Mytilus edulis: one gene and its partners. The protein of the gene in region 2 purifies or fractionates together with the protein of the main gene of each other region. This does not show direct contact. Links are inferred from orthologs where the notes say so. Each region holds a gene or a part of one and is shown on either strand. Other genes may lie near its edges.

Region 1 (8,231 bases), on a different chromosome or scaffold from region 2:
CAATATCCTAGAAGCAACATGTAAATAATACCTGAAATAACCCTGTAAGGCTATACTAATCAGGAATGACATTTTTTATTGAAAGGGAGGCAACTCATACAAATTTTAATAGTAAAGTTTTCAGTAAATCTGTCAATGTATAATTGAGTGATACTTTGGATACATGTGTATTCATGGTATTAGTTAAATATTTTGGCATTGCACAAGGTAATGTTTTTCTTGTAAAAGTTGCTCATGTCTTTACACTTCAAACATACTTCATGTGGACTTATTGATTTCTAGTGACATGTGAAATCTGATTTTCTTATTAGTTGTATTTGGACCTTAAACATGGCGAATAACCTTACACTATAAACAGCAAGTATTCTAAGATCACTTCTCAGTCTTATTTGTATGTGTATTTCTTTTTTTTCTCATTGTGCTAATCTGATAAGATTTGCCTACATTGTAACTAATTTTCACAATTTTCTATATGTTGTGCAGTTACACCACTCTGTCTTTAAGATCAAAGTTATCGTCCAATATAAAGTTGTGACATAATCATGAATTGAAAAGATTCTAAGAAGAGTGTCCTTTCTGGACAATTCTCATGGCACCATTTAATATTTACACCAGCATACTTACGTGTGTGTTCCTAAAATTAATCTGTGAAGAGAATAATCTTTTCCTTCTGGCCTGAAAAAAAGAGGAAAAATATCTTCAATTTCCATGGCTACAAATGTACATATACATGTAGTAAAGGTATATCTATAAAAATCAACCAGACAAACAAAAGAAATATGTTCTCACATGTGTACTAATAACACTTCTGATTCATATTCTGATTTCTTTCACAAGTATCATACGTAGTTATTATTAGTAAAGGCAACAGTAGTATACTGCTGCTCATAACTCGTAAATGGATGGACAAAAAACAAAATCAGGGTAACAAACAAAAACTGAGGGAAACGCTAAGGCTACACTTGTTTATTATTTGTGTTCAAATCTGGCAAATCAATTTAAAAGAGACATATCAAGGGAACTAATAAAAATTAAGGGAATTTACTTGAATGAACTCCAAAAGGATTGAGACAGTGTGCATCAACATAGTAACAGTTCTAATAATAAATTTGTGTTGGTGTTTTAATAAAAGTGTCACATTTGGCTCCATTGACTTAATCAGTTTTTATAGACAGAGGAAGCTGGAGATCACAATATAACCAAATGTATCAGCAGAAAAGCAAGCATACATTATAAATTAAGATCAGAGTCTAAAGAGCCTCACAGTCGCAGAGAGCAGTTTTTACACATAGCCTCAGAATTGACATGTTAATGATCTTTGTATCATAACAAGATCCAAGTCAAATGTCCCTCACAACAAGCAGGGTTCAAACTCGCAAACCCATAATTGACAGACTGTTCATCACTATATATAGACTACTTAAGACTAATCAAACACCAAGGTCCCTTGAATATAATGAAAATCTTACCTTGTGACATCAGGTAACCATTGTGCTGTAAGACTGGGCCATTCTAAAGCATGTGTCATTACCAAATCATACAAAAAAGGGGTGTTTTTCTTCCATATTTTATATTCTTCATTGATAACTCTTTCTTCTACAGCATCATCAAATCCTTCTACAATAAAAAGTATTTTTGTTTGTAGACACTCAAAAAGTAGATCAAAAATGATTTGTTTAGGTGATTGCCTTTTACAAAAATGTACATCTTATATCAAAAATTGTATTATTTCCTCTACTCTTAATTATTCTATTTAGTGCCATTGGTTTGCTACCTCAAGCCTAATAAAAATACATGTGTGATTCCAGTTACCCGACTGTCCTTAGTTTGAACCCAGCGATCAAATTTTGAGGATTTTGAAATTAAATAACTAAATTCAAAGACTTCTATCATCTGCATTTCCATCAGAAGTATCCACTTTGGCTAAAATTCATCAAATTCAGAATAGAATGAATCAAAATTAACTAAAAAAGTAACATTACTGTTTATTTTTCAACTAGAACATGTAAAATGGCGAACTTCCGGTTTTGGCTTATATAATATCGGAATCAATTTCCAAAAAAAAAATTGCCAACCTATTTTTTAAAAGGATGTAACTGGAACCACACTTATATTTTTATTTGGCCTCAGATGTATACAAGTACTCCTCAGTTTCTTTCATATTTTGGCAGGTTCAGTCCTGGATGCAAAAAGTTAATTTTTTACCCCTGTATATACAGTGATGTCGTTAGAAGCCGGCAGCCGGCGATTTTCGCCGGTTATTGTGCTTTTCCCGCCGGCTATTTTTGCATGAGTAAAAAAAATTAATAAGATAAAAAAGATAATCAGGTTAATATTAAAAAATAATTGTTCAATGCATCAGCTTCCACGATTAAAGTCCGATAAACAAGGATGTAAATCAGTGTTTACCTTTGACTAAATATAGTTCACGTAAATGCAGTCCGCTGATTGGTCGTCTATTTAAAGTCGGTAAGTATTGTAATGTTTGCAAGGATAAAAAGAGAGACGTTCCGATGGACATTATGACCCTGTTTGGTTTTTGCTTCAAGAGGCTCAAGAGAAGGAATAAGCCAAAGATGACAATAGCATGTTATGGAAATTAATATATCAGTCAAATAAAAGAAAGTATAATATATATAATGTTGTCAAGAATCTGGAAAACAGCACTTTTTGAAGTTCACATTTCAAAGCCCACGACCACGTGGTGTCCAGAGAATGAAGGTCAATAACGAAAGTAGAATATTGTCGACCACAAATAATTTTTAAAAATATCTTTTATAGTTCAAAAGGATTTTAGTTTACTGATTACTGAACAGTTAACAAATAAGAGAAAATAAAACGACATAGCTTGACAACATGTTTGAAATACGTGTACAAGTCTTATATGAGATAAAAGGGGGTCATTTGTCACTAAGTACGTACGCAAATAAATCGATCAAGATATTTAATAAATTCGATTATTTTTGAAATAAAATTATAATATTTCACCTATTATTTCACAGGCACTTGCCTGTGTATTATTTACATATATTCAAGAACAGACTTCCTTAGTTGTCTTACAAAAGACACCTTCCCAGAAAAAAATATAATATAGATTAGCCTTGCCAGGACTACGGATTCTCATTTAAAAAAAAAATCAATGTGATTGAAGTCAACAACAAAAATAAGACAAAATTAACATTTTTCCAAGCATCTAAATCACTCTCAGGTATGCTCAGAATGCAGGAATTTTAGTCTAAATTTTCAAATCTTTTTGGGGATAGCCAAGGACGTATATTATGTTAGTTATACGTCCTTGGGATAGCATACGATTTTATAAAATATAGCACCTCTGTAACAGTTTTAACTTTGAAATCGAAGCTCCAGCTGCCTACTAGTCAGTGAATATTGTTTTTAATTTTGTAAAAACAAAACCAACACTTTTTTAATATAAAATTAAAACATTTATAATGTTCTCAATGTCACAATTACAATTTTCATTTAAAACTAAATTATTCAAGTGATAATTCAAACCAGAGACAATATGTTTCTATTCAAACTAAGATTTTTGGATTCTTTCAGTTCAAAAATATTTACTAGCAGTCAACCTGCAGGAAAATGCACAAAAATGTATATTGGTCCATCAAGATGATCAATGATGTGATCACATGTACAGAAAATTTACCCATCATGTTGCTAATTTTAGTTAATCATTTACATTATCTTCAGTAAAAAATGATGTTTTCAGAGGTCTGAATAAGGGTCTAGGACACCCCCAGAATGCAGGATTTTGCACCATTTTAAAAAAAAATCCTGGGGCCCTTGAGCGGGCCCCAGACCCCCCGCCGTAGTAGCGACGAGCAAGCTCGTCGACGCGAACGGCTTTGCCGTCCGCATGTACTTGCGCTTATTTTAGAAATTCAGCCTGCTTCTTCAAAACTTAGTGACATCACTGATATATATAAATTTCTGTTATCAATTCATTTGTATTTCGTTTTGATAAGAGCCAAAGCACAGAATACTGCCAATTAATAATCATTTGATTTATTAACAAACAAAAAAATTCTGGAACAAAATTTTTAAAATGAAAATGAAAATAACAGAAATATAAATTTTAGTGCCTTCAAAGTTTTATCAAGAATAAACATAAACAAGAATTTTGAATTATTCCTGGACTTATATCTTATCTTATATCTTCTGTATTATGAAAAATAATGGGATCCCTCTTTTACAAAAGTTGATCCAAATATAATGACCCCCCCCCCCCCCACTTTTCAAGTTAAAGAACTTTTCTGTATTCTTTTCTGCAACATTAAAATGCCTGCTTAAATGTGTGCAAATATTGCTTGGAGTCTGGGAACCACAATTTGTCAAACAATTTCTTGAATGCATGCCATTGACATTGTGCAATACTATTCACTGGACATTCATTCCATCCAAAATTATAAGAATATAAGGTAGGTCCAGATAGCTACAGTTCTATAGCTAAACAAATGACTGTCGAGAGCTCTTGTCAGAGACTTTAAGGTCACCTCCCATTGGTTGTTAATGTTTTGTAGACCGGCCGGTCATTTCCCCCTTTTTTGTTTGTTTCCTTGTGTCAAGGGTAGTTGCAGTCTCACTTAATAGCAGAAATAAGTAAACAGCTTATGAAAGGTATAATAAAAATAGCTCATTTAAGGCTTCTGACAGACAATGTTTACCACCGTCTTTTTCTGTCATTTTCTTTCTTTCTGTTGATCTTTCGGCACAAAGACTCATGCGCATCAATGGCGCCAAATTTTTAATAATTTACTGCGATTCATTTTCTATAGTAAAAAAAATAAATTAAAGAAGCTAGCAGTTTTTACTGATAACTATTGTAATATGATAAGTAATTATTTTAACTTTATTTCAATATGATTATATAGATAGCTTATTTCGAAATCCAAGTAAATAAAGACAATATCGAAATATATTTAATTGATGCGCCACAGATTATTTTTTAATTATATTTTCTATTAATTCCGAAATGATCGTTTTGTACTCTGAATATAATATGCTAAACTTTGCATTATTTAAAAAAATTCTATTAATATTATTTCATTTCTAATTTTGTGAAGTGTGTATCACACTTGTAATAAATTTCCAACATGGTGGATAATCGTTGAAAACTTCCTGACTAAGTCTGTTTCACAAAATCTACTTAATTGTAGACAACTGACACTGTTAACATTTTGACATAGTACATATATGTGTTTATTCTGGCATGGAAGGGCTCAAACTAAGCCAGCAAGAACAACGAAATTATGGGGAGTTGTTTCAATTATGTGATGTTGATGGGACTGGCAGGATAACTGGGATAAAAGCATCTGAATTATTTCTGTCATCTGGTTTAGGACAGGATGCACTGTTGCAAGTAAATATACAATAGTATAAAATGTTAGCTGATACATTTAGATAAAGATGTTGCTAAGAACTAAAAACTTGCTTTAGCCTGATTGTGTGACAAACCTTACCTTACCTCTGTATCTTTAACCCCCTTTGTAGAGGAACCATACGCTAGTATGTATAACTTGTGGCTTTCTAATATACAGTGATGCCTCCACCAAATGCTTTGAAGTGCTGAGACTATATACACAGTGAGATCCTATCCACACACAATTATATTACAATTCCGTTATCCTGTATTTACAATGTTTCTGTGTTGATTAAAAGTCATGTCACATACTTTAAAATTCCTCTCTTTCTTTATGTATACACTGGTATCACATTTATACCCCTAACCGATAGATGTATTCTTTAAAAATTAGTATCGATCTTTAAAAATATCAACAGCACTATTCCATAATTGCGGTAAAAACGGTAAGAAGATAAAAGAATGATGAATGCCTCTTCCTCATGAATTAAAAGTTGTATTACAAAGTAATTATCTAAAAGTTATATTCATTTCTTCTAAAAGGTCCTTCAGGGCACACACTACTTCAGAATTATAGGGAGAAGTGACTTCTCTTTTTGAAACTGATATGGAGAAGTGGTGAGATTTGAAAGAGAAGTGCTCATTCGCGCGGTGCGCTACAATGTTTGGATTTTACAATAGTATAAAGGGCCATATGTAAATAATGTCCTTTTTATGTTGTTCAATTCATATGAGCATGATGAGTAAAAAATTACAATTAAAGTAACATTTGAAATTAAAAGTTGTTTAAGTTTTACTAAGGTTCTTGTGAGAAACTACCAACTAAATATCTAGCCCTAAAAAAAAAAAATTATTTTAAAAAAAGAAATTATAATATATCAATTACAATTTAATTAAAAATTATCTTGTGTATGAAATTCAGTGTTTCTCATAAAAAAATATAAAAGTTATTAAGCTGGGCCATAATATATTGATATTAGTATAATAGTCTCAGAGTTAAGCAACTTTAATCAATAGTTTGAAACAATCCATAAAAAATATAGGGAATTATATACACTAATCAATTAGATGTAACCAAAAGTCTCTTAATGCGTGTGGAATGCGTAATTTTCCCCTTTGGAATCAATATTCTTCTGTTAACTGTTCCATCCGTGCCTCCGTAGTAATTATTGTAAAAGTACGGATTTCGGTCATAGCTGGTCCGGTTCAGATCCGTAGTTTAGAAATCGGTCAATGGCGGACGAATGCAAGAAAATTTACAAAAAAATAAACGATGTTTGACAAGTTATTTGGAAAGGAAGATGACGGTTTTAATGCAATAAATGGATTAAACATTTACTGGAGGCAACTTTTATCACGTTTAAATGAAGTAACAAACTTATTTTGCCGCCGAAATTTAGGTTGATGTACGTTTTCGAGTAACAAGCACCGGAACTTGCGAAAATGCACGAAGTGATAAAAAGTTGTATTTTTATCAAATAACCTGCTACACACTGCGAAGACAATGCTTCAACCTCTTTTCTAAAGATAATGAATCGTTTATGTCTGAATTTCTTTAATTATCAGTAAAAAATTGATGTTTCATCAACTTGGTAAAAAAATTATGTCCGATGACGGAAGCGACTGAAAGCGACTATCGTCAAGAACAGGGCGACTTGTTTTCGCTTTTGGGGGTCGGGGAAAGCGAAGTGACAGTCGGGAAGGCGACTTCTTCGCCCAAGTCGCCTGGTAGCGTGAGCCCTGGTCCTTCATGTATTGTTTAAGATTCTGTTTTCTATATATAATCTAAAATATTTTCACTTTAAGATCGCACACTTTAAAAATATGTCATCACTAGCATAACTTTAGTATGTATATATATATGCTAAAATAGGTTCGTTATGTTATTGTAAAATTGATTAGTTTCTTCTTTTTACTGTGGAAGCGATTATCTTTTCCTTTTTTTTTTTTTAGAGTCATAATTATTAAAATTATCATCCACATACTATTTTATAGCGGGCTATATGTAACTGGTATATCAAGCGTCTAGTAAGGCGTTCTACTTTTGCTACACTGGCTGGAGAGAGTTTCCTTGATGTTGCTAACGGTGTGATGTCCAGAATTATTTGTAACTTTTCACTGTCCAATAGTTCATTAAATTTAATTCCAAGACTGTTAAGTACCTCAACTGTTTCTAGAAGTATCTTGTTCCTGATATTTCGGAGTTGTATGCAGTGTAATATGAAATGAGTCACAGTTTCATCATCCTTTGAGCATAGCAGGCACTTCGGATCGGTTTCATCCTTATACATTTTTATTCGCTTACTTTGTAGAATATATGATCCAGTAAGCAGTTTTAGTTTAACTGGTAGTCTTGCCGTATCTATGGCTGAGTGGCAGTTAATTCTGAATAGAGGATTAATTTTACCTTTGTCAAGGTTTCCCGTTGTAAGATGGTCTAGTCCTTTATACAGTGGCAGTAGTTGCACTATTGACTTGCTCCAGTAATTATGCACTGTTCTCTTGATGTTTGAGGTCCACAAGGATTTTTTGACAGGATGGTCCATGTACCATATAGCTTCTTGCAGATTGTACTTCCTGAGCATATGTTTTATGGCTACGAACCAACTAGCACTTTGGTTGTTTTTTACGGTTAGTTGTCGTCTAGCTAGCGATTTTTCCATACTTTCTTCATGCTGGTTACAGATGTTGTTGAAGAGTCCAAGTGCTCGGATATGTATTTGTGCTTCTACTGGCAATATTCCGGTTAAGATGTTGATAGTTATATCTGCTACGCAAGTTGGTAATGAAAGAATTTGCTTGAGTAGCTTTTTTTGGAAATTTTCGATTAGTGCCAACGAGCTTGTTGTAGGTA
Region 2 (7,777 bases):
TACATTTTCTGCGGCAGATCGAGCAGAAATTGGAAGCTTCTTAACTGACCAGACCTTTTTTAACGACACGTTATCATTTCCGTCAATAGCTTTTACTTGTAAGTCAACTTCTTGACCGTGAATTGTACTACCAGAAGAGCTAACAGTAGACATCTCGAAAGTGACCGGCTTGCTGGCTATATTTAATTTCTGAAGTAATCGTTCATCACATAAAGTTTTATCTGCTCCGTCATCTAGCAAGGCAAATGTTTTGCAAGAGTTACCGTTCCGACCCTTAACGAGGACAGGAATAATTCCTAAACAGTTCTTAATCATAGAACCTTTAGTAGCTGCGCAATTAACTGAAGGCTGAGTAGCTGCATGATCAAAACCGGGCTTAGACCAACTATGCAATAAAATATTATGCTTAACATTACAGTCAGATACAGTGCATGCCTTTGGTTTTCTACAATTGTTAGCAAAATGCTTCCCTTTTAAACAATTATAACACAATTTTAACATGCGTACTAATTTATACCTATCATCTAAACTCATTGACTTGAATTTGCTACAAGCTGTAAAATCTACACAAGTACCTGTACAACATTTACATTTGTGCTCATATTTAGCTGTGTTATTTAAACTTTGAGTACTTAACGTAGTAACCTTACTATTAACTGTATCATTATTATGATGGTTACTTGTAAAAACCCTTTTATCAGTCTTGTTCTGATTGTTTTCTCTACAAAGATCGTACCCATACATAGAACTAGCAATGCGTGATTTTTCGTCTACAAATTTAGCTAAGTCAGAAAAACGGGGTTCTCTACCAGACTCACTAATTGAATGAGCAATGTCGACCCATCTTGTTCTCATATGCATTGGAAAGCGTTTAACAATACACCTTAAATTTTTAGAATTATCAATATCTGAATTAAAACCTAACTGAGACAATGTGATTTCACATTTTTGCATTTCTAATGCCAATTTAGATAAACCTTCAATATCTGACGCTTTAATCTGAGCGCCGTACACTAATTTTTCAATAAATGATCTAGCAATTACATGTGGCCTACCGTATCGGGAGTACAATATTGCCCTAGCACGTTTGTAACCCTCATCAGAATCTAATAATACACAATCTTCTATACAACACTTGGCTTCACCTCTACAGTACTGAATTAAATAACTCAGTCTCAAACTATTATCACTTATTCTACCTTCAATGTTTGTCTCAAAGTTCCTTATAAACTTACTATAGTCTAACGGAGTTCCATAGTCTAACGGAGTTCCATTAAAAGTTAATAATTCTGGTTTTGGCAAATTAAACCCTTCGTGAAGTGTAGATGCTAGGCGTTGAAAAGCTGAATCTATGCTGGAAACACTTACATCCGAAAATCCAGACTGAGCACTGATTCCCTGTGTACTGTTATTAATGTTCATCTTTGGTTTATCAGTTGCTGCAGTTTGTCCGGAAAGAGAGTTCATATTAATACACTTTTCACTCGCAGGAACAGAGCTCTGTAATGTTTGCGAGACTGTTTGCGAAATGTTCCGAATGTTCACGATTCCACTGGTATTATCTGTGTCTTCTTCCACTGCTTCTTGCCACACTGATTCTTCGATATTGGCCTCTTCCATCTCGGATAGTTGATTAAATACCTGTTGTCTAAATTTAATTTCTATTTGTGCACGCTCTAGTTCATGCTGTTCTGATAATTTCCTGAGTTTAAGTTCTGCGATTAGCCGCTTAGCTTTGGCACTGCGAAATCTAGATTGTGATGAAACTGAAGATCGTGAACTCAAACTGCTATCAATTGAAACTGTATCACTTTCTTCGGGTATTTCCTCTTCATGCGATTTTTCACTCGCAATATACTGAGAAAATCTATCCCGGAATTCTACAAAGTTCTCATGACAACGTTCATAGTTCACTTCCAAATTTTCTATAACTTCTGATTGTGTACACAAATCTAAACACTGTAAGTGTGCTAACTTAAATTGTTCAAACCTTTCACATAACTTTGAATATAATTGTTTTGCATGTTCCACGTTCTCATATGAAATTAAATTCTTCTCCAATTCTTTGTACAATTTAGTAAGCTGCGCTAAATTCGTACTACGAGTCCGTTTTACATCACTGAAGTCCAGACAGTCTTCTTTCCGTCTATCGGTAGCCATTTTCTTTTTAACAAATAGTCAAAATTCGGCACAATTTTAGAATTTCCTCCTCTCCAGAGTTGAGAATTGTACGAATCACATAAAGTTTAACTTAGGGCGAAGAAATGAGTATGCGAGTTAAGTTGCACCATGTATCTATCTTTTATTCTTTTATAAAAATCATATGGTCGCTAATAATCGATTCTCAACTTTGATCTGTCTAATAAAATAATGTGCATCCTTATGTTATCAAAATAAAGTCTAGACGACGAAGCGCACGTCAAAGGCGTAACGTCATAAAACAGAAACGGGAAAATGTGTTGTTCAAAAGAGCGCAACGTTACATTAGCGCTTTCATAAATAAATAGTAAAAACTGTGTTTCTTATTCTTACAAGAATAAATGAATATGTTAGTTAAACATTTAATAAATAATAAACTTATATTTAAAATTTGAATATTTCAAATCTTACAATGGTCATAAGGTCATTTGAGGAAACCAGGTCGCCTTTGAATCTTTTTGCATTGTATGAACTTCTTTCTTTTTTTTTTTAAGACAATGAGAATAAGATAGCATTTATTTTCAAAAACTATGAATTATAGTAGTACTATACAAATCCTTGAAAATGTAGTCCGACTCAGAAAATGCGGACGATAAAGACAATAACAAACAAAACCAAGGAGTAAACAAAGACTCACAAAACCAAAGGACATTTACATCAATAGTTATAAATAAGAAATAAAAAACAACACGAACTCCACTAAAAACCATGAAAACCGGGAGTGAAATCAGGTGCTCCGGAAGGGTAAGCATTTCCTGCACCGTATACGGCATCCGTCGTGTTATTTCTTTGTTCAGTCAGTCGATAATAATGGAAGGTTATTATGACTGAGGAAGAATATCAGATATGATTTCTAACACACTTTTTTCATAATTGCCAATCAGATCAAGATGACGACCGTAAAATTTCTTGAGTGATGACCTTAATTTGATTGATTCATAGCCCTGTCTTAGCAACTTTTGAGAAAGCAGTATTCCTCGTTCAACAAAATCAACGTACTTTGAACTAGCTCTAGAGTAACGTATCAATTGAGACACATATACTCCATATGCTGGTGCCGCTGGGATGTTGCTACACAGAAATGGAAAGTTGACTATAGGAAAATTAAAATCATCGCGTTTGTCATAAATTTTGGTATTCAACCTACCATCAGTAGTCATTTCGAGAAAAAGGTCTAAATATGAAGCAGATTTATCTGTGTCGGTAGTATCTTTAATTTCAAGTTCACTTGGATATATTAAATGTAAGTGATCACTGAATCTATTATCATTAACAGACAGTACATCATCAATATACCGAAAGGTGAAATTAAAAGACTGGGCTAACTTCTTTTCTCCTTTCTGTACAAGCCCTTGGATAAATTCTGCTTCATAGGAATACAAAAACAAATCTGCAAGTAGAGGAGCGCAATTGGTACCCACTGGGATTTCAATAGTCTGTTGGAAGACTAAACCTCCAAATTCAACAAATATGTTGTCAATTTAAAAGTCCAGCATGACAGTGATATCCTCTTCGGTGTATTTTTTGCTTGACCCTGTATGATTTTTCACAAAGTAAGCTGAATTTCTGCCCAAAACTAGATGATATTTAAAAACGTCTAGTGCCAGCCTTTTTGTTAAAGAAACATAGGTTGACGAGGTCTTTCAGTCGAGCTTTAAGTTTTTAGTATGTGGAATAGTGGTATAAAGAGTTGAAAAATCAAAGGTTTTAATGTTGGTACACTGTTTTAATAAATGAGATTGTAAATTCACCAATAACTCTTTTGATTTTTTCAATATCCACATCTGATTAACACCACTTCTTGAATATGTCGTTTCGGAATATTTCTGAAGTCCTACTTTGACTGCAGTGAGTATGGCAGTAAGAAATTTAGAAAGGGGTTTAGTGAAACACTTGTAAGAACCTGCAATATACCTTTCCTTATAAGGATTCTTGTGGTGCTTAGGAATCAATATAAGGATTTAAATTTAATACTGCAAATACGGAAATTAAAGTTACTACTGATTTGGTTCTAATATTATTGACTTTTCTGAAACCGGAAGTGATCTTTCCACACTTCGATTTTCTTTCTTGCTCATTAGAAATGATTATTTATAATTTGTGCCGGTAAAAAAGATACATATATGTTTTCCTTTAAAGTTAATGAACAACTACTAATAATTTCTATTACATTCACTTCTTTGATTGAAATTCCTGTGATAGAATAACTGGAAGCAGTACAAATCATCAAGTGGGCGTATCATCAGGGACATCGCGTCACTTTTCTTGGGTTTAATCACTAAATATTTTGATATAACCCACAATCAAACAAATTAACACAGATTTGGTCTGCTGAATAACTGGTATAGGTCAAAATTAAATCTTATATCTGTGTTTTTTTTACACTCATTCTATTCAATTATTTATGTCGGTTAAAATCTCATTAGAGCTTATGTTTGTCTATGTTTGTATACCTTGCCGACTCTAAATAAAGCTTATTTATTATTATAATAGCTCTGGTTGATTCGCCCAGTTGATGTTTCCAGTTTGTTCTCCAAGTCTTTGACGTGATGCTCCCTAGCCCTTGATATGTTGGCCCTGTTGATGTTTCCAGTTTGTTCTCCAAGTCTTTGACGTGATGCTCCCTAGCCCTTGATATGTTGGCCCTGTTGACTGTTCTCCAAGTCTTTGACGTGATGCTCCCTAGCCCTTGATATGTTGGCCCTGTTGACTGTTCACACCAGCTTCTTTATCCCAATTTGATTAAACAATGTTATTTGGTCCAGAATAATATGTAAGCAAAAACAAATGAGTGGATAGATGATTGTTGATCAAATGTAAATGTTTTTGTTATGATTTGCTCAGCTAATTGTTTTGAAAGTTTATATGCACATATAAACCTTTCTTTATCGTTGTGTTGCTATTAACATGATTGAACAAAATAAATAATCTTGCTGTGGCTTCTTTAATTTCCAATGAGACAAATTGTGTTCTTAAACAAATAATTGAAAGCTCTGCATTATAGTAACTAAAAAAGTCAAGAACTTGATACAATTTATGAGGCATCTGTTTTAGTCTACCAGTCAATGCTCTTCAACTTCGTAATTTATTTGGCCTTTAAAGCTTTTTTTTTATTTGAGCTTCACTGATGAGTCTTTTGTATACCGTTGATGAAACGTTTGTCAGGTGCAAATACAAAATTTCAATCCTAGTATCTATGATCATGATAATGAGTTCAATCATCCTATCATCATATTTGACTCAACTTGTCTCATGGTATTACATGTACTTTGTTTCTTGATGTGGTACATGGTAACACGGTTACTCATTTATTGATCAAAGTTATTTCTCACATTACTTTATTATTAATATTATGTTTATCTTTTATGGGTTATACATGTTTGAACCTGTAAAAAAGTTGTTTTTTACTTTACAAAATATACAGTAAAGATCAGTATACCCTTTGAAACTGATATATAAATGTTTTCTTAAATTATTTATCCATTGGTAGTGTACACTGAACTAAATATCAGGTAAAACTTATACATACAATCAAGGTTTTTCTATACATGATGTATTTTTGGTTTTCAGGTAACAGAAAAATAAAGAAATGATTGGTGGACTATTTATTTACAACCACAAAGGAGAGGTCCTCATATCCAGGGTATACAGAGATGATATTGGGTAAACTTATCAAATTAAAGTTTTATAAATAATGATTGTGAAAAAGGTTATTCTAGTGTTCATTCTTTCATGTTGTTTCACAAACTGAATTAAGGTAGCACAGTACAAAGATTTTATACCTCCAATGCCCCAGTTTTAAAATGCTGTAACTTTCTTTATAATGCTTGAAAATTTATTAAATTGGTATTTATGGATAGCTAACAGATTATTACTCTTTCAAATTAATGCAATGTTAGTATTGTACAACAATTATGTAATCAATTATAATTTTAACTGTGTCTACAAAATTTTACAAGAAATTTACACTTTCAATTGAAATTAGCTTCTTCATGGATACCCAGAGAGGGTTGATTTTATACTATGTTGTTCCTATAGCCATTGTCTACAAAAGAGTGTCTCAGATTTTGGATAGAATGTAGAGATCAAATTTTACACCTTATCAAACAATCTCTACTTTTATGTGGTAAGGATATTTACACTCATTACAGATTTATGAGAGAATAGAATACAATAGCCATAATTTGAGACACCCTTTTGTAGCTCCTACTGTGTTGATTAAGATAACGTTAAAATTTCTTGTGTAGTTATAGAGATGACAGAGCTAAATTCATACAAGTGAACTGACCAAGATTTTGCCGTTAATTACATAATAATTGTAACATAATGATTGCAGAACAAAAATATTGCATTCATTTAAAAGATTAATCTTTTATTTATCTATATATACCTCTTTTATTAATTTACATGCAGTCATAAGAAAGTTACAGCATATTAAAGGTTGGAGATTGGAAGTAAAAAATCTTTGCATTGTGCTACCTTAAGTCAGACAGACTTTATGACACAATAATATATTATTTTCTTTGTTGAATAGCTCAACAATGAAACAAAACTGGATGCTTTGCAAAATGTCGCTCCCAATTCTAAGACATAAATTACCCCCCCTTCCCCAATCTACACCTGAACTTATGTTTAATATCATGCATGTCAAATATTTCATTATTGAGCAGTGGCTAAAAAGTATATGTAATTTTCCTTTTTCAGGGCAACAATTTTGTTGTATGAACATTTCATCATTTTCTTAAGAAATTAAACTTTGTCTTTGTTTTCAGTATCCACTCAAAGATTGCTTTTATTTTGATATGTTAATTATTTGTGAACAACACATTAATTAGTGGTAGAGTTGTGCTACATGTATTCTGCAATCATTTACAAAAAGTATTGCTGCCTTATATTTCAGACGTAATGCAGTTGATGCATTTAGGGTCAATGTCATTCATGCCAGACAACAAGTCCGTTCACCTGTAACCAATATTGCCAGAACCAGTTTTTTCCACATCAAAAGGTCCAACATCTGGTTAGCCGCAGTAACCAAACAGAATGTCAATGCCTCTATGGTGTTTGAGTTTCTTCTCAAGATGGTGGAAGTCATGCAGTCTTATTTTGGCAAAATAACAGAAGAAAATATAAAAAATAACTTTGTTCTAATTTATGAAATTTTGGACGGTGAGTTTTACTAGCAGTTGACAAATTCATGAGGCTGAACAAAATATAGCTCCAAATTTAAACAAAGTACAGTGAATCCTGCTTAATCCAACATCCTGCTTCAACCGAGACATTTTCATGGTCCCAAAATATGCCTATCCTTGAAGAAAAAAACCTGAGTATTACGACATCCTGCTTTAACTGAGACATTTTCATGGTCCCAAAATATGCCAATCCTTGCAGAAAAAAACCTGAGTATTATGACACCCTGCTTAATCTGACATTTTTTCAGGTTTCCCAGTGCAGACTGTGCCAAACTGTTTTAGGGTTTGTCAGACCTAAAGTGAAATTTGGACTTTTCTACTATATATTCAACCAAAATATCTTAAAATTTCTGTCTGTCCGAAAGGAATTTTTGTCTGACATTTTGTCA
Region 3 (7,733 bases), on a different chromosome or scaffold from region 2:
GAATAATTTCAACACCCAAGACAGTCATAACTGTCGCTAGGACCATTATCACTCAACTATATCAATGTAAGCAAAATTATGGGTGGGCTTAATAAATGGATGGAACATTTCATGAAAAGGTTATAATTAAGTTCACCGACCGGTTGCGCTAGGTAGGAGGGTCAAAAATAATTAATCAACAGGTAGAAATCTAATTACCGCATCATTATGACAGTTAGTTAAGTATCTGTCTGTACTGGTATTTGTTTATCTATCAAGTATACGGACTGCTTGGTAAATATCCCAATCTAGAAAGAATCAGTCTTTCAGACCGGAAATTGTCAAGGAAAAAAGGTATCTTGTCATCTAAATCTATCAATATGGCTGTTGACCGAAGAACAAACTCCGCGTAAATAAAGTAGATCGGTATGTCATTGATGGTTTTGGTAATAAATTGTCATGTTAGTACATATTGTACATGCATAAATAAGATATATGTGGAATTAAAAAAATGAATATTTACTTTCTGTCCATGTAAATTATAATTATATATTCCGGATGTAACAGTATACAAACACCGGAAGAAAAATAGTGCCAATGTGGCAAACGCTACGTCATTTTACAGTGACACCTGTTCAGTTATTATCTACCCTTGATTTTCCCGCCGTTTTATTGCCGTATAATTGACATTATGTCTTTGACCTTTTGAATTATTTTATGTTTTTCTTTTATCATTTATGCTTGTATAGTGAATATTTCCCTGCTTTTCCAAAACTTAATTCTTGTCATCTCACTATAGTATCAACCACACCTGACATTAGTCTACTAATTGTAAAACAGTTTCAGACCCGGTTCAGAAACCACACATTATTTAAGTTTTAAAGACGGTGAGTAATGGTTAAAAATAAATCATTGAACATCCATTACTGATCACACGATCATTACTTTCTGATATTATTGACATTATTCATGTAAAAGTAATAAAATGTACATACATTTATATAGCCTATAAAAAAAAATCGGGGTACCGTATTGTGCTTTTGTTATTCAGTTCTTAATGTCATTTTTGTTATATTTTTATGTTTTTATTATGAAACAAAGCCTGATTCTGAGATGTCATTGAACACACAGTTAAGTGTTGTGGTTAAGAAATGCTTACAAGATCATGATGTTTGCTTCAAATGCCATAACTGGAGAAAAAAATGTGGTATATGAGTGCCACTGAATGAGACAACTCTCCTTCCAAGTCAGCCACAATTTGTAAACGTAGTCTGATTCTCAAAATATAATATTTCTGTTGATTTTGACATACATCTAAATATTTAGTTCCGAATCTTGCAGAAAAAGATTATTTCAAAAATTCATTTGAACAAAAACTAGACAAAAATTGCATTTCTTTAGAGGAAGCCTCGGAGCTACCATTTAATTTGTATACGGGGGGAGGGGGCAAGATGACAGCCCAAGATAAGTGTTTTCATATAGTTTATTCATTGTTTATAGCCTCAAGATAAAGTTGTCAGCCATCATACATACAGTTGGTGAAAAGTACAACTGCCATATATTATTAAGCAAATATTGAAATAAACTACATTGTCAACTGTCTCAGAACATGCTAGTAGCAGAAGGAGATGGCTTTCTGGTGGGTAGCTGTATTCATATTTTTGGTCAAGTCATTATGGTAAACAAAGTCAGCTTTGCATGAAGTGCTGACTTGCACCAGGCAGAATAGAATTTGGCTGGATACTTGGTCTTCTTTGCTACTGGGGTATTTGGTGATAACATACGTTTCGGCATTTTGTCATATTATAAGATTATAAAGTTGTCCAAGACAAACATTCTTACAAAAAAAATGTATATATAGGTATTACATTGGCTTGGATGGAAAATAAGGCAAATATATATATATCATATTTGAGTTGATTTCATATGTGGGGGCATACATGTCTTTGAGATTCAGTAACTGTTCCATGTTTACAACAACATCAAAGTCGTTGTTTATACAAATAAAATAATTCTTAATCCAGTGTCTGTAAAAGACCTTTGGTTTAAATTTGTAGCACCCCTGATTAAGGGCTACTTTATTAATAGTTTTTTATTTATCATTTTCTTCGGTGAATTTCTCTCTTGGCCCTTTTGGTCTTTTAATAGACTTCAATGAATCTTTAACTGTTGGGGACACATAGCCTTCGATTTTATTTTTCATCTTTGTTACTAAAGTATTTGCAGAACCGTAGCTCTAATGTCCTAATGATATTTTTTTGACAGTTCGAGGACCATAGAGCTAGCCTACAGATTATATATGGTATGCAAACTGTAAAAAAATATCATAAAGATACCGTAGCTCTAAGCCAGACTAAGGTCCTAATGATATTTTTTTGACAGTTCGAGGACCATAGAGCTAGCCTACAGATTATATATGGTATGCAAACTGTAAAAAAATATCATAAAGATAGCTACCATCAAAGACAAAGTACAGTATGATTTTGGTCTCTTCTGAAGTATATCATAAAGATAGCTACCATCAAAGACAAAGTACAGTATGATTTTGGTCTCTTCTGAAGTGCAGCCGCAGGCCTGTTGTCGCACACATACATATAGAAAAGGCCAGTTTATGGCCTATTTTTATTTTAAAACTGGATGTGTTGGCCTCTTTTGTTTCAAGCCAAGATGCACTTTTTTTATTTGACGGAGAACCTCCTTTTGTTCTTGATTTCCTTTATGCCGGTTTCTGAAGGCATCATGGCGGACATTTTGAATGATCTTGTAACCTCAGATTTGAAAGAGTCTAATAGTAAAATGCCGTTATATATTCATTAAGATACTGACGCAATGCAAATGAAATGCATCTTGGAAATCTATTAAATATCAAAAAAACATTTTCCTACCTTCAAGTGTCGGATTTACTGCAGTTTGAGCACGACTTTCATCGAACATTCATTTTGTTTACCAACAATCTTAAGTTCAACCTTTGTTTTTTAAGACGAAAGGCGTTTAAACTTTTCATTCTTTGTTTTGGAATACAAGTTTTGATCCTACCAATGGTTTATACGTCCTTAAATTCAGGATCCTGTGGTAAACACTAGAATTTTTACTATTTAAAAGTAACTAGGAAGCACATATTCTCTAGTCGGCCATGTTTCCATGTATTTTCCGCGTCAGTTTTCCTGGTGCTCTCTATCACGTCCGCGTTATTAACTTAAACGAAGCACCTGCAGAAATTTTATCATTCTTGTTTTATCAAGTAGTCAGCGAAAGTAACAAAGATGCCAAGCAGCCCAAGAAAACGTTCACGATCCAGGTCTAGGAGCAGGAGCAATTCTCCAAAGAGAAGTCCAGCAAAGAAGGCCAGAAAGACCCCAAGAAAGCCAAGAGCAAAAGGTGGAGTGAAGAAGCCAACAACTTTATCCTTGATTGTTGCTTCCATCCAAGCCATGAAGAATAAGAAGGGATCATCTGTCCAAGCCATCAGAAAGTACATCCTGGCCAACAACAAAGGGGTTAGTGCAGCTCGTCTTGGAACTGCCATGAAACTAGCCTTTGCAAAGGGATTGAAATCGGGTGTTTTAGTCAGACCAAAGTCATCCGCTGGTGCATCTGGTGCAACTGGTAGCTTCCGTGTTGGTAAAGCACCTGCTTCACCCAAGAAAAGGGCAAAGAAAGCAAAGTCACCAAAGAAGAAAGCAAAGAAACCCAAAAACAAGTCAAACAACGCCAAGGCTAAAAAGTCACCCAGAAAGAAGACTGCAGTTAAAAAGTCATCGAAGTCCAAGGCAAAAACATCAAAAAAGCCGAAATCACCCAAAAAGAAGGCCGCCAAGAAACCTACAAAGAAGAGAGTAAAGAAATCACCCAAAAAGAAGGCCGCCAGGAAGTCTCCAAAGAAGTCCAAGAAGTAGACCCGAATCAACAGATTAACGACAAAACCAAAGGCCCTTTTAAGGGCCAACCAATTATTTCAAAAAGAGTCTTTATTTGTTGTATCAGTAAACTTCTTCTCAAATCCGAAGACCTTTGCCATCTTCTACTAGTTTCTTCCAAATTTCAACTTTTTATCTTTTATTTTATTATACTTCAGATTTCAAACTAGTTCCTGTAAATCGCATAGAATGAAATTCAAAACAGTGTGGCTGTGGCCATTGATTGACACATTAAATTCATCCATTGACTGGGACAATTTACGTGAACGTTTGTCTGTAACGACCACTGTTCACGACGTACCTACGATAGACATTTAAACTGTGGGGTCACCAAAGGTTTCTTAACGCCTTTAATTATAAAATAATTCAAAAAATTAATCAGGAATAACTTTTATGTTTTGATTTATATAATTGATATAAATCAAAACATCTTGTTATTTCTGATTAGTTTTTCGAATTACTTTATTAAGGTGTTGAGAACCTTTGGTGACCCCATAGTTTAGGTGTCTTTAAAAAGTACATAGTGAGCAGTAGTTGCTACATACAAACGTTCACTAAATTGTCCCAGTCAATGGATGAATTTTATGTGTCAATCAATGGCCACAGCCACACAGTTTTGAATTTCATTCTATAACCGGCATAGTGAAAATTTCAATAAACAAATCCATAACAATTATTCCTTATCTGCGCAGACATTGATGAAAGGATATTCGAAAATCTTGAGAAAAACTCCCCTTTTTACTAGTATCTGTTGAGTTTCGAGAGGCTATTTATTAGGGTCAGAAAGTTATTGAAAATTTTTGATATCTATTAGGAGTAATACTGTTAGTGTACGAAAAACGTAAAATGCGTAGCATATATGACATCAGATAACAAATTATTAAAATTTAAAATGAAATGACTTCACATGAAATTTTTATTTTGTTAAAAATGACCTCGTATTCATTTTTTTTTAATAATTATGTTCTTTTTTTTACGAAATATTGAGAATTTGAAACATCTGCATATATGAACTAAACAATGCGCACTTCAAAATTAAACACTTGCAAAATGACTTGGACGTATTCAAACTGGCATTGAACTGGCATTGATTTAAAAAAATAAACCACAAAATGTTGGAAATAATTGTGCATGTAAATACAGTTTATCTTTGAATCTTCTGAAAGGTCCATCGGCAGAGCCAGCAACCGGTATTACAACCCTTGTAATGTTTTGCCATTCTTAAATATATAATATATATATGCACTACAAATTGCCTTTTTGCAAGATGAAGAAAATAAACACAATCAGTTACTAGTAATATTTTTTAGCTTTTCACGAGAATTTATCATGTCACGGTACATTTACGTCACATAAGTTCTTTTCAATTTTTAATAACAAGTTAAAAGTTGTACCAGATGGTCACGCTAAGCTGGATTTGTAACATGTAAACCTGACATATATTTCACGCTTATTATTACTGATAAAACTGGTAGGAAAAAAATCATGAGGAAAAATTTGGAAGGTTGACTTCATTTTTGTTATGGATTTTTGTTTAAAATGCCTACACGGGATCTTGATGGGGCTCTTCCTTTTTTTAATTTGTAACTTTTTAGTCCATTTTCTTTATTTATTTTGAGCTTTATTCTCTGTAACAGTGTTCTATACATATCTTGACCTCCAGACCTCTTATAGATGTTCAGTTTTACGATCTATAGTGGATAGTTGTATCATTTGCAAAAAAAAAATTTATCAGTCTTGGTTTAAATAAAAGCTGACCATAATCAACAGATTCCTTTTGATATTGAGGGTAATTATATATGACAAAATCAACCAGATGTCAAATTTGTTCAAATGCAGTACAGGTAAAAAGCTGCCGGTCAGAGTAACCTACTCTTGTTAAAAGAGGGAGAAAATATAAATGGAGCAACCAAGGACCATTCTCAATTTTACAATTGGTCGAAAATAAACACTTGATCAAAAAAAAAAACATGACGAAAAGATAAAAAAAAAAAATCCGCACTACCATTTTCTGTGTTCAATGGACCGTGAAAATTGGGGAAAATCTCTAATTTAGCATTAAAATTAGAAAGATCATATCATAGGTAACATGTGTACTAAGTTTCAAGTTGATTGGACTTCAACTTCATGAAAAACTACCTCGACCAAAAACTTTAACATGAAGCGGGACAGACGGACGGACGCACAGACCAGAAAACATAATGCCCATAAATGGGACATAAAAATGTCCACACAACACTACACAACAATACTTACTTCACAATAAAACGGAAGTGAACTTTACTAGGTAGTCCGCGGAAAGGTTAGTAGTTCCACTAGTGACACCCTCTGTTCAAATACGCCGATGACATCACCAAATCAACCAACTCTATGCATATAAATATTCTAATAAAAATAGTTCGACTAAAGCCAGTCCCAATGTCCACTTTCGTCAAATACATGCATTTGGTGTAAATCTGTTTTGCCCACTTTTATCTTTATTGTAATGTTATTCGCCACTCTTAGTTTTCTTAAGGGACTTGGACAATTTCAATGACCTATGGATGAACAATATGACACACGGTCACGTTGACCCACTTTACTACGAAATCTGTGACACCTCTTTTAAGTCATTTTATAGTATCTGCATGGTACCTGAACTAGTCCTATACATTAAATATGAAAGTTGGAGGCATTAACTAGTAAGTTACCTCTATCTTCTTTACAAGTTAAATGAATGCGATTAAGTGTCTGATATTTAGCTGTAGATAAGTCAATGTGACCTACTTTTGGTGATACGCAGTAATAATGTTTTTGGTGGGGTTCTTGTTGCTTAGTCTTTAGTTTTCTATGTTGTGTCTTCTGTACTATTGTCACGTACCGGGGGTACGCAACTGCGTTACTCTGGGTTTCGTACCAGAGTCGTTTCTCTGGATACAGTCAAGGCTCAAGAATTGGTAGCGTTATTTTATCAACTGAGTATTCGGATTTTCTTTATATTAATGCTGGGCTTCCAAATTAAGAAGTCTTTGGGTAATAGACGATAAATGCCAAGGATGATAGTGAATATCTTGATATACTTTTGATTAGCCAATGCTTTCTAAAAGCAACGTATTATTAATATACTGAGCCAGTGCTTTACTTGTAGCCACTGCTTTATATCTACTTTATTTGGGCCAGTGCGTGTGTTGGACTGTTTGGTCACTTCTTTGCTCTTATTCAATGCTTCTCTCTGCAGCCACTGCTTCTTCAGCAGCTATACTTATTTAATCACTTGGCTCCTTACTCAGGGCCACTGGAAATACTTTATTTTGTATACCGCCAATGCTTCTTTCTGAAGCCACTGCTTCTTCAGCAGCAATTACTGAATTAATCAATTGGCTCCTTATTCAGGACCACTGCTTATAATTCTTATTCAGAACTATAGATTAATCTCACCTTTCTTCTTCTCTTGTATCCAACTGCTCGGCTTGAATTCTAAACCCAGAACAATGTGAACTGTGAAAACCTTGGTATATATAGTAAATTGTAGACTCGTCCATACAATAGACTATTCCAAAAACGACTTTATCACTAAAACGTTTTACAACACCTAAGCATATATGATATAACAAAGCACTATTGTGACGGTTATATACTTTGTAACAACTGATCATGATCGTGGGAATTCCGGATTTATAGGTCAATTCCTGACCCCAAAACAATTACTACTCACCCAGTAAAATGTAAACAAATCGAAAGTGAAAGTAAAACAATGTGTAAATAAATGAAGGGAATGAATGATATTTCTTTCTGTTGGACTTTACAATCGGATTATAAAATAAGCAAGAACCAGGTAAGTTTGCAAATTCATCACAC

What was found. Proteins that work in one complex are often made in the same cells at the same time.
Region 1: the proteins of AP-2 complex subunit mu (region 2) and ralBP1-associated Eps domain-containing protein 1-like purify together in Homo sapiens (affinity purification with mass spectrometry; 3 studies listed by BioGRID and IntAct, counting the BioPlex papers as one, with this or other methods). This does not show direct contact. The link is inferred for Mytilus edulis from reciprocal best matches to the Homo sapiens genes AP2M1 and REPS1.
Region 3: the proteins of AP-2 complex subunit mu (region 2) and AP-1 complex subunit gamma-1-like purify together in Homo sapiens (affinity purification with mass spectrometry; 3 studies listed by BioGRID and IntAct, counting the BioPlex papers as one, with this or other methods). This does not show direct contact. The link is inferred for Mytilus edulis from reciprocal best matches to the Homo sapiens genes AP2M1 and AP1G1.

Annotation. Positions count from the first base shown.
Region 1 is NC_092353.1:79,518,528-79,526,758, reverse strand, and holds the start of ralBP1-associated Eps domain-containing protein 1-like, read left to right. Parts: upstream 1-5,089; 5' UTR 5,090-5,227; coding exon 5,228-5,377; intron 5,378-8,231. Other genes in the region: histone-binding protein RBBP4, read right to left, coding at 625-675, 1,470-1,617, 4,683-4,746. UniProt on the Homo sapiens protein: May coordinate the cellular actions of activated EGF receptors and Ral-GTPases.
Region 2 is NC_092356.1:16,485,498-16,493,274, forward strand, and holds the start of AP-2 complex subunit mu, read left to right. Parts: upstream 1-4,203; 5' UTR 4,204-4,305; intron 4,306-5,769; 5' UTR 5,770-5,788; coding exon 5,789-5,862; intron 5,863-7,099; coding exon 7,100-7,365; intron 7,366-7,777.
Region 3 is NC_092348.1:64,384,719-64,392,451, reverse strand, and holds the start of AP-1 complex subunit gamma-1-like, read right to left. Parts: upstream 3,143-7,733; 5' UTR 2,865-3,142; intron 866-2,864; exon of another isoform or gene 514-865; coding exon of another isoform or gene 503-513; intron 398-502; exon of another isoform or gene 199-397; intron 1-198. Other genes in the region: sperm-specific protein PHI-2B-like, read left to right, coding at 3,243-3,875. UniProt on the Homo sapiens protein: Subunit of clathrin-associated adaptor protein complex 1 that plays a role in protein sorting in the late-Golgi/trans-Golgi network (TGN) and/or endosomes.